3 linked regions of the Caenorhabditis elegans genome follow. The protein of the gene in region 1 purifies or fractionates together with the protein of each later gene. This does not show direct contact. Each region holds a gene or a part of one and is shown in the gene's direction. Other genes may lie near its edges.

The links. The genes of interacting proteins can lie anywhere in the genome.
Region 2: the proteins of glct-6 (region 1) and dph-7 fractionate together in Caenorhabditis elegans (co-fractionation; one large-scale study listed by BioGRID). This does not show direct contact.
Region 3: the proteins of glct-6 (region 1) and fbxa-101 fractionate together in Caenorhabditis elegans (co-fractionation; one large-scale study listed by BioGRID). This does not show direct contact.

The regions. Positions count from the first base shown.
Region 1 is NC_003282.8:3,782,609-3,787,217, forward strand, and holds the start of glct-6 (Galactosylgalactosylxylosylprotein 3-beta-glucuronosyltransferase), read left to right. Parts: upstream 1-1,601; 5' UTR 1,602-1,749; coding exon 1,750-1,773; intron 1,774-2,689; coding exon 2,690-2,738; intron 2,739-4,609.
Region 2 is NC_003281.10:13,313,483-13,319,129, forward strand, and holds dph-7 (methylated diphthine methylhydrolase), read left to right. Parts: upstream 1-1,642; 5' UTR 1,643-1,651; coding exon 1,652-1,931; intron 1,932-1,976; coding exon 1,977-2,071; intron 2,072-3,901; coding exon 3,902-4,062; intron 4,063-4,229; coding exon 4,230-4,404; intron 4,405-4,809; coding exon 4,810-5,028; 3' UTR 5,029-5,115; downstream 5,116-5,647. Other genes in the region: Y43F4B.10 (uncharacterized protein), read left to right, coding at 590-643, 704-846, 956-1,085.
Region 3 is NC_003279.8:12,958,108-12,961,943, reverse strand, and holds fbxa-101 (DUF38 domain-containing protein), read left to right. Parts: upstream 1-2,011; 5' UTR 2,012-2,024; coding exon 2,025-2,083; intron 2,084-2,138; coding exon 2,139-2,222; intron 2,223-2,279; coding exon 2,280-2,961; intron 2,962-3,008; coding exon 3,009-3,212; 3' UTR 3,213-3,304; downstream 3,305-3,836. Other genes in the region: fbxa-140 (F-box domain-containing protein), read left to right, coding at 483-535, 590-1,262, 1,312-1,572.

The DNA.
Region 1 (4,609 bases):
TGAATCCCTATAAAAATATTTTTCAAAATCAAATATTTTTTGAATCGAAATACGTTAGTTATTCATTGAACAACCATATACAAAAAAGGTCAGCTTTCCGAGGTTGATAGTTGTTGTAGTTTGTAGTCTGTGAGATCACACCTTTGCTGTGAAAACTTACATAGAAAATTTCAATTTATATAAATTATGGACGGAAAATCTATAAACGTGTTTTTTAAATTTTCATTGAAAATTTAATTTTAAAATTTTCAAAAATTTTGGCTAAAAACCGAAAAAATTATACCATTACAATATTTATAATATACAGCAAAACTATTTTTTTAAATTTCAATTTTGGCGCAAAACCCCAATTTCACAATTTTCAACATTTTTTCTTGAAAATATAAACGTTTCCCGGAGGATATTAAGAAAAATTGGCATTATTGATTTTGATGGTATCCAAATTTCAAATAATTTAATTTTAGACTCCGCCCATTTCTTGGTTTTTGTTCTCCATTTGTTTTTTATCAGATTTTCAGATTTTTTGAAAATTTTTGAAATAACCTTTTTTCCGAATTTTTGAGAAAAAATTTCTCAAAAATTCGAAATTTAGTTCCTTTTTCATAAATTTTCCTCAAAACTAGAAATTTTTTAAATTATCACTCCGATCAAAATATTCTTTCTTCTGCATAGTCATTTCCCTAAGTGATACGTCCAAACAAGAATTTTATGCATAATTTCTTATCGTTGAATTCCTGCTGCAAAATGATAAAATTTGATGATTGAATTCTAATGTATGTGTTTTGAGTTTGTGGCATTAATTTCTACTTTTCAAAAACTTCAGCTGGGAGATATTCTTATTGGCAGAGTTTTTTATTTAAAAATGTTTTGGAATTTGTTTTTTTCCAACATAAGAGAAACATATAAAATTCAATTAAATGTCAAAATATAGGCTCAATTTTTTTTTAAATTTTCCAATATATTTTTCCATTTTCAAGGGAAACTAATTTTTTGAAAATTTTGGCTGGAAATTCAAAATTATATTCATTTTTTCATTTTTTTTCAATTTTTAAACCCAAATATTTATTTAATTTATGATAAATAACGTCCCGAGTTATTCAGAAATAAATAATATTTACCTAAAATTTGAGGAAAAAGTCAACAAAAAACAGTATCAAATGCTATCAGTTGTAAAAATTCTCAAAATATTCAAAATTGAGTTGACTCGATATCAAAAAAGATATCAAAAATGAATACCTAACAATAATATTTGTAAGTTTTATTACTTTTTTGGACAACAAAATTATAGAAAAATTAAAAAAAAATTTTTATGAACATTTTTTTCCAGAATTTTTTTTCTCAAAAATATGTGTTTTGCAACTTTTCAAAAATTTAGCAATTACTCAAGATTGATAGAATAAGCTATTTTAACATAAAAACTACTTCCTGTAACCCATTAATTTTCCTCAACGAGAGTTAATAACACCTCCCCCCCTTCAAAAAAAAATTCGGAAACAATACTATTATGTCGATCAACTGGTAATCCATCCCCTTTCACCGAACATCAAACAAGTTTCATTCTCTGCGTCTCTCACCTCTCTCTCTCACTTTTTGATAAGTTCTATTCCCTTTCTGTCAACTAGTAATAAGCCTTCCCCTCACACCCAAACCCGAATATCACTTGAATTTCTATACTATGATATTATACTACGTGTCTACGTCCAATTAGACTGATAATGTTTGATTTTTGACGTTTTTTTCGAAAATCGCATGCTTATTATGAATAATATTGAGGTTTGATTTTGTTCTTTTTGGGAAAAGTGGTTAGAAGTGGGGTTACTTGACTTTTCAAGTTTTTTTTTTTAGAAATCAAAGTTTTGAACAAAGAAACCACTTTTCTTCTTTGGCGCCTAACTAGTTGTGGGATTTTATTTGAACGGCACCATCCAGAATTTCCTGTACTAGTTAGTTTTGAAATGTTTGAATAAAGTTGATTTTTTGGAAAATTGAAAATTTTCGAATTTTCAAAATTTTCTGGAATTTTTTTTTGCTTCAAAGTTGCGAATACCTAATTGAATTTAAGTTTTCCGCCATTTTTTGAAAAATTAGAATTTTGCACTTACACCACGATTTTCTAAGTTTAAAAAAATACGAAATGTTTTTGGAAATTTTTAATATGAAATTTGCGCCAAAAACTTTTTTAAGAATTAAAAATAAAATTTGAACTTTACAGGTAAACTTGATCAAATTTTTCGAATCTGAGTTTTTGCCAAAACATTTTTAGAATGAAATTTTAATTTCCCCCTTTTTTTCAATTATTTTTTGTTGAAAATTTAAATCTTAAACTCCAAATTTTTTCACCAAATTTTTTGAAAAATTCAAAAAATTTGAATAAACTGTAACTGAATTTTTCCTGCTAAAATTTCTAGCAAATTTGAATTTACAGCCAAATTAATATTAAATAGAAATTTAACTTCGAACTCACTGAAAAAATTTTTTTTTAATATTAAAATTTGAATTATTTACCATTTTTGAATATAAATTTTTCAAAAAAATTATAGATTCATTCGAAAATTCCACAAATTCCAAAAATATTGTTTGCTCAAAAACTTCCCTTAACTTACAAGCACACAACATTTCCTGTTTATCAGTTCTTCCGCTTTCTTCATAATTTTATCTTACTTCTACAATTTCAGCATTATATTTGCAGAAGTCAACAAGCGTCGTTGATGATTCAGAGTTAGAGGACTCAGAAAAAAGTGAGTTTTTTTTTTAAATAACAGTTTTATTTTTTTAAAAATTTTACGTAAAAAATACCATAAAAATTGCTTACATAGAGCCCTCCCATTTCTTGGCTCTGCAAGCTGAAATATCATAAAAAATAAAAAAAATAAGATACTGTATATTATAAATATTGTAATGGTATTTGTTCCCAAATTGCATACAAAATATGTATTTTATTATATTCTTCAATCTCATACGCGACATATAACGAAAATCTATGGGATTACCCCAAATAAAATTCTAAGACACAAAAATGTCCCTAATCTTAATCCCCAAACCTCTGACACCTAGGCTGCGGAATTCCCGATGAGAAAATTTTTTATTTAAATATTTTTCCCTTTTGTGAAGGAAAATTATACTTTTAATCGGGTTTTAAGTTGGAAAGTATATCAAAAAATGATAAGAACATTTGAAATTATACTTTTTTGGTTCATTCTAATGATCGCAAAAATTTTTGAGTTGATCCTATCGATGCACCATTTTTTGTAGCTATACTTTGGCTCATATCTCTGTTAATTTTACAGGTTAGAAAACATTTTTTCTGTTGACTTGTAGAAAAATAGTTAACAAGTATTTGGTCAGTTGACGATTTTTTGATGAAACCAATAAGAACTGAGATATGATCTTCCAAAGTTAAGACCATACCGGAACCTGGGTTTTATAGAGGCAATAGAGGCAATAAACATTCCATTAGCTTCAAAACTAATTTTTCAAAAATTCAAAAGTTTCGGGAAGATTCCACCTACCACAACAAAAAAATCACATTATTTTCTTCCTCTTTCTCTCCCCCCCCCCCCCCCCCCGAGACTAGTACAGATTATCGACGATTCAATTCAATAACCACACCAACTTTTTTTTTATTTTTTTTTTTTATGCAGGGTGTGGGCAGGCTTATCAGAGCACTCACCTTTTAGCGCTGACCTTTTTTTTCGTATCGGTTTTGATTCAGAACTTTCTGAATTTTATGTTTTAAGTTTGATGTTTGCTTTTTTGTTGCTTAATCAAATAAATTTGAATGCACAGTGTTGACATTTTCCTCGCCAAAAAAAATAATAAAAAAGTGGTCCTATCTGAAAATTTGCATAACTTTTGAACCCTGTATATTCCCTAAAAGAAAAACCTTTCAAAAAAAATTGGTGAAATTTCAAAATAACAAAAACATTTTTCATAGAGATATTGCTGAATTTGGTAAACTTTTCAACCAGCTGTAAATAACATTATCTTGAAAACATTTCACAAGTTTTAACAAAAATTCGATTGAAAAATTTGAAAAATATTGTAAATTTTTTCACTATTATTTACGTGACTTTTAGATAATTATATAAATATTTATTTTTTAACCGAAAAAAACTTTTTTTACACGTACATATCCCAGCTCAATTTTTTATACAATAATTTTATTTCCAAAACGCGAGAGTTTGAGAAAAAGTGGGTTTTTTCTTTAATTATCAGTGGGAGTTTCAAATTTTGAGCCTTTAAAATAATTAAAACTGCTCTCGAACTTTGATTCCTCATAATTTTTCTTCTCACCAATAAAAAAATAATATTGTTATCTTATATGATGCTGAACAGAGGGGGTGTCTAGGGAGACGAAGCATAGACAAACGGAATTTGAGTTGAAGCTTATAAGAGATACCCTATTGGTTTCCATTTATTCATTATTATCTGTTTTTTACTTTTTAGGAAAGACTTTTTTTAATCTGAAAAATCTCTAAATTTTAAGTTTTAATATATTTTCAGTTTTGAAATCAAAATCTCTAGAAAAAAGTTGTTCTTCATTTTGTTTTTTTTTTGTATTGATAGCTTCAAAGCTAACCAAGATATTGCTTTCCAAAGTTTAGAAGCA
Region 2 (5,647 bases), on another chromosome or scaffold:
CAGCCGCAAAATTTTGCAATTTTCACACTAAAAATACGGTACCCGGTCTCACAACGACAATATTTTGTTAAATACAAACGGGCGTGCACCTTTAAAGAGTACTGTAGTTTCAAACTTGTGTTGCTGCAAATCATGAAATTCCGTACGTTTCAACAAAAGTTTGAAATTACAGTACTCTTTAAAGGCGCACACCTTTTCCGCATTTAACCAATATTTGCCGTGGCGAGACCGGGAAAACCGAAAAATTGGAAAAATGTTTAGAAAATTAACAAAAAAAACTATTTTTTATCAAATTTTATTTATGTTAATGAGAACAAATCATAAGAAACAGATAGTTTTTCTCTAAAAAGAGGAAAATTATATTTTTCCAAAAATCCTTTTTTTTTTCAAAATTTCGACAAAACAAAATTGTTTGGTTTTTCGATTTCTCAAAAAAAAATATCGTAAAAATAACCGCCAAAATCCTAAAGCAAATGTGCTCCATTGAAACGTGTTTTGAAAAGAGACGCAGAGAACGGTGGTGTTCCCGTTCTCTGTATTTTTATTGATTTCTCGCAGTAATTCATTCAACCTATTTTGTTTTAGAAAAATGGCGACACAAGAAGATCTTCAAACGCTTATCTCAATTGTGCCGAATCTTCAGGTAAAATATTTAAAAAAAAATCTAAATATACAATTTTAATTGAAAAAATAATGATTTCAGATGCAAGAAGGCACTCCTTATTACGAAGTTCTGCTCAAGTTGATCGAAGAAATCGGGAAAGACGTTCGTCCAACATATACATTCAATAAGTTGACCTGTGAACGGTTGAAGAGGAATATTCAAGCGGCAAAAGTTCTGATTAGGTAGGTTTTTGAGTTTTTTCGTCGATTTTCCACTCGAATTATAAGTGTCGATCAAATATTTGATCGTCATAATCGAGAAATCAATTGAGAGAAAAAAAATCATTTGCAGAGCGTGTCAACAAGAGGCCGAAACAGACAAAAAAAAGGCAGACGCTGCGATCGAAGCACAAAGAGTTGCGCAGAAATCAGAGACTCCGAAGCCTGAAGAGACATCATCGGAGGCCGCCTCGAAGAATTAATCTTGCTTTTTTATATATGTATTTCAAATTGTATTTATTTTTACCATTCCTGCAAACTGGAAACTTTAATTTTTTTGCTATAATTTCCATCACGATCCTCATGGGTTTTAAATTATTCCCAATATTTTTTCCATGAATATGTGTCTTATTCCAATCTCAATAGTTCACCAATGTATAGACTCGAAATTTGGCGGTTTTGGAGCCAAAACGGCGGTATTTGGTCTCGACACGACAATTTTTTGGTTAAATACAAACTAGTGTGCGCCTTTAAAGAGTACTGTAATTTCAAACTTTGGTTTTTGTAAAATTTTTATCGATTTCTTAACGTTATTCGTTAAAATAATACTTTATTTCTAAAAAACTGAAAATTCGATGAAAATTCCACATCACGAAAAATTTTGGAATTACAGTACTCTTTAAAAGCGCACACCTTTTCGCATTTAACAACAAATTGTTTCGTGTCGAGACCGGACACCGTATTTTTGACGAAAAATTGAAACATTTTACGTTTGAAAACCGCATTTTTAGTAAATTTTCAAAATTACAAATTTTTTGAGCTCATTTAAATGCGATCAAAAAGTGTGAAGCTGTCAAATCGCCCAGCATTTGCTCGTCGGATACCATCAGAGGACACATCACGTGCTTGCGTATCCACGTATCTTCTCGATACATCTTCAGACACTCGATCCGGCTCACTGTGCATTTTGAAGATTGATGAAGCCGACGGGCTACAGTTGGAAAATGAGATTAGCACTTCTGCTGGAGTGTTTCGATTCGATTTCCGAAATCCGTCGACGATAGTTGCAGCGCTAACCGATGGATCACTAGTGGTTCAGAAAATTGAAGGTTTGAATTGTGCCTGAGATTTCAAATGAGCAGGACGATTTTCAGAACCTGTATCATCCGAAACTACACCTGTATCGTCGGATATGCTTTTGGATTTGGGACTTTCGGATTCTTCCCTCACTATTACAACTGACAACAAAGTACTGTGATCTCGCCGGTATTATAGTAGTAGTGGTGCAAAGCACCACCAGAAGGGCGCCATGGGCGTCCATGCCTCAGTGAGTTCCTCCAGGGTAGTAGTAGTAGTAGTGGTGCAAAGCACCGCGATGGATCCGTGGAGGTCCTTGGATCATTGAGATCCGCCTGGATCGAAAGTTCTGGTGGGGAGGCCCAGTGCCTCTGCCACCTTTTTCGGAGTGAGCGGGGGTTGGATAGAACATCTCAGCATGTGTTCCACATTCCCTGTGACATCGCCACACTTCTTGCAGGCTGGCACCGTGTCGTTGTTGATTCTCGCGAAATAGCTTGGGACCATGGTTGAGTGACCGCATCTGATTCTGGCTAGCTCCACTCTTGTTCCTCGCGGCAAGGAGCTTTCCTCACCATTTATGGCGGGGGCAGGGCGTCCAAGTACGTTGTTCGGCTTCTTGCTGTTTAGGAAGTTTTTGATGAAGGTTCGGTGGTTGGACTTCTGAATGGCCTTGGTCGTTGAGCGGGGATTTGTCCAGGCATTGGTGGTGCTGCTCGGATAGTCTAACGGCGGCTCTCTGGGCCTGTTGGTCGTCCTCTCAAGGGGTCTTCTTGCCTTTAGGTCTTTGGATGGGTGGCCAGGGGTGTTCAGTGCTGCAATTGCAAATTGCTGCTTGCGGAGCTCAATTTCCTCGCGAAGAGGAAGCCTCTCCGTTTCCTCATAGATGTGCTGAGTCGGAGAATCACTGGTGAGACCACTGCAGGTGCGGAGGGTCGAATATTTTGGTGGGGAGGCCCAGGGCCTCAGCCACCGTTTTCGGATCCGACCACAATTTTGATGGCGTTAGCGGGGGTTGGGTTGAGCATCCCAACAAGTGTGCCACATTTCCTCTTTGATCGCCACATTTCCCACAGGTCGGTATCGCGAAGTAGCCGGGTACCATCGTGGAATGTCCACATCTCAGCCTTGCTAGCTCCACTCTGCTTCACCCTTGGTAGTGATTTCTCTTCCTCGGCCACCGCTGGGGCAGGGGTGCCCAGCACGTTGTTCACCGGTTTCTTGTTCAGAAATTCCTGCACGAATTTCCTATGGTTTGCTTTCTGGATGGCCTTGGTGGTCATTTGAGGAATTTGCCAGTTGCTCGTGGTGTTGCTAGGGTAATCTAACGGAGGCTCCCTTGGCCTATTTGACGCTCTTTCCGTCGGCCTTCTGAGCTTTAAGTCTTTGGATGGATGTCCTGGCGTATTTATTGACGAAATCTGGAATTGTTGTCTTCTAAGCTCAATTTCTTCTCTCAGGGGCAATCTGGTCGCTTCCTCGTAGATATGGTGTGCTGGGGTGTCACTTGTGAGGCCGCAGCAAGTTCTCAGAACTGCTCTGTAGGCGTTATTATCAAGCCAAGTGGTGCCACGCTGTCCCATGACGGTTTGATCTACAAAAAATGCGGGAATTTTATCCAAAAAAAAAATGACGTCAGCACGTTCTTAACTACGCGAAATCAGTTGAGAACCCGCATTTTTTGTAGATCTCCGTATATCAAGTCAAAATGAGACACTCTGACACCACGTGGAGCTCCAGAGACGCAGAACAACGCGCAAGTGCGCTCTACTGCCAAGAATTGGGTCCCAATAGGTAATGGCGGCAAAACCTTAATTTCGAAAAATCACATTAAAAACTGAATTTTACATCAATTTTGTGTCAGAAAATATGTATTTTTGTTGTTTTTTTTTGGCGCCAATACCTAACGAGACCCAGAGGCGGAGCGTTCTCATTTCGCTGTGGAGCGCGCTTGCCCATTTAAACGTTTTTTTCTCTATTTTTTGAAATCAGTTCATTTCAGGGCCACGCGTACATCGTCGACCTGAACACATCACTCATCGTTTCCACGTGGCTTGCTCATTCGCTTCCGTACGTTCCTGGTGAAGGATGTGAAGTATGGTCTTGTGCGATCAGCAAAGATGCTCAGACAGTTGTAACTGGCGGAGAGGACGGATCAATGAAGTAGGTTTGAAGGAAAAACCAATTTTCTATTTGAATTCCCTCCAAAATGAGAACTGCAAACCAATCAGAAGGGGTGGGCGGAGCAAATCGCTGATTGGTCCTGCAGTTCTCATTTTGGAGGGAATTCAAAATTCAAACAGAGGGGTTTTAAATCTTCAAATTTTCAGACTCTGGGATGCTCGCAGCCGAACTCAAACCGGTCAATCAAAAATTTTCGAAGCCGGTGTTGTTTTTGTTGATTTCCCGGCTTCGAACGAAGATCAAATTCTAACTGGAAGCTATGACGAGCACGTCCGGATTTTCGATCGAAGGAATTTAAAAACTGTGCTCAAAGAGAAAAAGGTATGATATATTATGGGAGCATAATATTCTGAGAGTGCGTGTTGCACAACATATTTGACGCGCAAAATATCTCGTAAAAAAACTACTGTAGCTCTTGTGTCGATTTACGGGCTCGATTTTCTCGTAAATCGACACCAGCGCTACGAGATATTCGCGCGTCAAATATGTTGCGAAATACGCAACCTCAGAATTTCGAAAAATTGAACACTATCTGTGCCACGTGCAGGATCTCATATCGCCACGTGTCACCAGATTCTACGTATTCAAAATAAAAAATCCAGGCCTTTCAGGTGCGAATCGACTTTATTTTACCGTCCTTCGCGTTTATAGACCTAACAATTTATTGGTTATTTTGAAAATTTCCCCTAAATTTAACGAGAAATTTAAATTATTTTCCAATTACAGCTCTCTGGTGGAGTTTGGAACATTGAACAAGTTGGCTCAGAGTACTGTACTTCCTGCATGTACGGTGGCTACAGTATTCTGAATTCGGACACTCTCGATATTGTCCACGAGAATCGGGATGTTGGATCGAATCTTCTGTATGGAGCAACAAAAATGTCCGCGAATTCGGTGCTCTTTTGTACTTTTAATGATTATTTGGCTGTTTTAGACGAGTATTGATGAAAAATGTTGAACGCCGGTGAATTTGTTAAATTAGTGATTTTTTGCTTGTTGAATTTAATATAATAATAAAAATTGCGTTTACAGAATTTATACCTTAGTTGGAATTTTTACAAGATGAGGGTGTTAATAATAACAAAAAAATTGTACAGCAACTTTCGCGATTTTTGCGCGAAAAGTACGGTGTCCTGGTCTCGAAACGAGAATTTTTTGCTAAATGCGAAAAGGTGTGCGCCTTTAAAGAGTACTGTATTTTCGAACTTTCGTTGCTGTGGAATTTTTATCGATTTTTCATAGATTTGTTGAGTATTTCCTTTTTTTATAACAAACAAATAGATTTTCAAAAAAAAATTATGAAAAATCGATGAAACCTCTGTGCAGCAGCAAAACTTCGAAGCTACAGTACTCCTTGAAGGCACACGCGCGTGCTGAGACCGTGCAACAATCGCAAAGCTTTGCGTGTGGGTAATATCTGCATTTATTTTTAAAAAAAGTTTATACATTAATTGAGCAATTTTCGGAAAGTTTCAGAAAAAGTTGGGGTAAAGAATTTATAAATTAATTTTAGATAAATCGTTGGCCGAATTGGGCTTTTCTAGGCCAAGTATTTAAAAACAGT
Region 3 (3,836 bases), on another chromosome or scaffold:
ACTACGGTAGTTCTCGGAGTACGCAACTTGCGTACCGGGCATCTCATTTGACGCACAGAATTCCTAGTTTATTGTTTTTGGATTTTCAAAATTTCAAACATAGTTTTTGCATTTTTCCTGTCGTTTTTGTGATTTTTATTTGTGAAAATTTATTAGACAGAAAAGAAATTTTCAGTTTTCACGAAATTTACTGGAAAATTTGTTATTTTACCGTTAGGTAACGTATTTTACAAAGATATTTCACTTTATCCGTATTTTCTTATTGTTTTCTTCACTTCAAACGATTGAAAACTGAATCAATCAAATAAATTTCCTATTTTTCAGGTAATTTGTCAAAATGACTGGCTCATCTCGTGGAATTGTCGAAATGACAAAGAAACTGGATCGATTAAATTGTTAGTGTTAAAATGAAATTTGCATCGGATTCAGTTTAAAATTTGCTTATTTTCAGATCGAAGAAAAGACCACTTACGCTTTTAAGCATGCCAGTTGATGTTATGGAGAAAGTTATGAAGAAAGTGGATCCATACGATTGGTATCAAATTTTGAATGTTAGGCAAATGTTAAAAAAAAACCAAATGAGTTTCAGGATTTCCGTCCGCAATTCCAATCGAAATCTTCGAGATTTCGTCGACAGCCAGCACCTCAAATTGGACATTGATGTTTCTATTGAGGGCACTTTTCACACCATTGATATCAATGGAAATCAATCCTTCGGACCTTTCCATCCGGTCGTGGCTGATGATGAAAGAAGAACCATCTACAATAAAAGACTACAGTTTGCTCTCAGAAAATTGTTCGTGGTTATGAAGCTTCCAAGTGCCCAAATTGAAGAGTTCAAACTGGATTTTGACTTTATGGGAAGAGGAAGTGACGAATTTGAAGATATCTACGATATTGGTTCCAGAAGAGTTAGTTTTAAAAATAAACTGTTGAGTGCAAGCCTGAGAACAATCGATAAGGAGTTTGGAGAGTTTCACTGTTTCCAAGCGAAATCAGTTTCTCTGAGTGGACTAAAGGAACCTCGAACTGTGCTCATTCTCAAATCTTTCAAGTCTGGAACTCTCGAGAACATTGAAATCATTAATTCCTACAAGTTCTACTTCAGTTGGCAGCTGACGCTTTCGGAGCAGTGGAAGAATGCGAAAAAACTGAAAACTGGACTTTCCACTGATCGCTACACCGGAATTCGAGTTGCTGAACTGTTCGCATTTTCAAATATCGAATTCACAACTGTAGTATTGTCATCTGATTTGAAAGTGGTATAGAAATTCTTAATTATTGATTAATTAATTTTAGATTTTTTTTCAGTTGGTTGATTCGTCTGCAAAGCTGGAAACTTGTCTCAGCAGGAACACGTATGACAGCGAGGATGACAGCGATGAAGATAGTGATGAAGACAGCGATGATGAGGACAATAGTGGAGTGTTAACGGTGTCAAAAGAAGTGCTCAAAGTGTTCGATCCGAACTTTGTTGGCTATAACGGAACAATCAATTACAAAGCAAATGGATTCGAATATCTCATTGAAGTCACTGAATTCGAAACTAAAATTGTGAAGAAAATCGAATAATCTTCTCATTTTTCAAAATTTGCTTTTGTTTTACTAGTCACATGAATTCTTATTTTGTTACTTTTTTTGTTTTGAAACTGATTAAACCAATAATTTGGGTTACGGCTGAATGTTACCTTCCGTTTAATATTTTGTAATCTTCCCAGTTTTTCTATATTTTAAAAGGAATTCTCGAATAGTTAACAAAGATCCTTTTCCAAACTACGGTAACTCTCAGAGTACGCAGTATGCGTACCGGGCATCTCATTTGACGCACAAAAATTCTAAATTTTTTTTTGAATTTTCAAATGTGGTTTATGCGTTTTTCTAACCAATTTTTTGTGATTTTTCCCCTGAAAATGATTTAAAATAAGTAAAATAACCTGTTTTTGTAAAAATTAATTTCGTTTTTACACATTGAACGTGATTTTCTATATTTACTCAAATTAATTTTTTTCAGGTAATTCGTCGACATGACTAGCCAAAGAGCAGAAATTGGTGAAACGACGGACAAGCAGAATTCCATGAAATTGTTAGTTATTTAGGCTACAATAATTTCAAATAACTTTTTTAAAACACATTTTCAGATCGAAGACAAGCTCGCCGACGCTTTTTGACTTGCCTCTGAATATTATGAAGAAAATTGTGAAGAAACTGCATCCATACGATTGGTAAGATCAAATAAATAAAAATTATATTTTTAGAAAGTATAATAAAAATATTTTCAGGATTTCCGTTCGCAATTCCAATGGAAATCTTCGAAGCTTCATCGACACCTTGAAACTGGATTTGGACATTGATATTTTTATTGAGGGCCATAGGTACACCATTGTTCTCAATGGAAAATCATTTCGTTATCGGTATAGATTTGTGCCTTATGATGAAATAAGCAACGCTCGCAATGAACCTTTCCATCCGGTCGTGGCTGATGATGAAAGAAGAACCATCTACAATAAAGGACTACAGTTTGCTCTCAGAAAATTGTTCAATGTCATGAAGCTTCCAAAAGCTCAGATTGAGAAGTTCAGTCTAGATTTCGACTCAATTGGAGGATATGAAGACTATGTCCACAATGAACGGTTGAGGTCAAGCCTGAGAACAATCGATATGGAGTTTGGAGATGCTCACTGTTTCCGAGCGAAATCAGTTTCTCTGAGTGGATTCAAGAAACCACGAGCTGCGCTAATTCTCAGTTCTTTCGATGCTGGAACACTTGTGAAATTTGAGATTATGCGTTGCATCTTCAACGATATTCGTCCACTAACTTGCTTGGAACAGTTTAAAAATGCAAAACAATTGCGAACTGATCTTAACATTTGCTCCGTCTTTGGATTTACTGTGTCGGATCTTCTTGGATTTTCAAGTATTGAATTCACCAGTCCAGAGGTATCGCCAAATGATCTGAAAGAGGTATAGCAATAATCAATTTTTAGTTGATTTAATTAAAATTCTTTCAGTTGGTAAATTCGTCTACAAAGCTGGAAACTTGTGTCGTCAGCAAGCAATTAGATGATAGTGAATCAATTGCAGAAGAAATGCTCCAAGAGTTTGATCCTACCTTCGCTGGCAAAACCGGAACCATCAATTACAAGGCAAATGGATTTGAATATGTCATTGAAGTCACTGAAGAGCGAGTGAAAATTGAGAAGAAACTCGGCTGATTATTTAATTTTAATTTTTGTTTTTTGGTTTTTCAAAAATTGTTGTTTAATTTATTGTTGTTCATCTCGTTCTCATGAATTTGCTTTTGTCATTTTTCTTTGATCAACACTGGAAGGCTAATAGACTACAAACTAGACATTTTATAAGCCTAAGCCAAGAAAGTACATTGAAAAAACGTCGCTTCCGGTAAAGAAAATAAATCAACCGAAAGCGAAACTTGACTTTTTTTTGAAAATTATTTATGGAAAGTTCATGTTTTTAGTCGTTTTAGTGAAAAAATTTAAAAAAAAAAATTAAAAAAAAAAAAAAAATCAAGTGCTTAAATAAATTATATATTTTTGAAAAGAAAAATGAATTTATTCCTGCTCTAAGCTACAAATTTGTCATATTTTGAACCTTTCTTCTAGAAATTTTAGCTGAAAGTGAAGAATATACTAGCAAAAATTGTAAATTAATTTTTTAAAAACGTTTTTAGAAATTTTAAATTTTTTCACAAAAAAAAAATTTCCCAAAGTGTTTTTTCAAAATTCAAATTTTAATTTTATTACAAGCCCAAAACGTGTAACGAGTTCTATAACAATGATCTGGACCGCAAAATATGTCATTTTTGCAGCTATTTACAC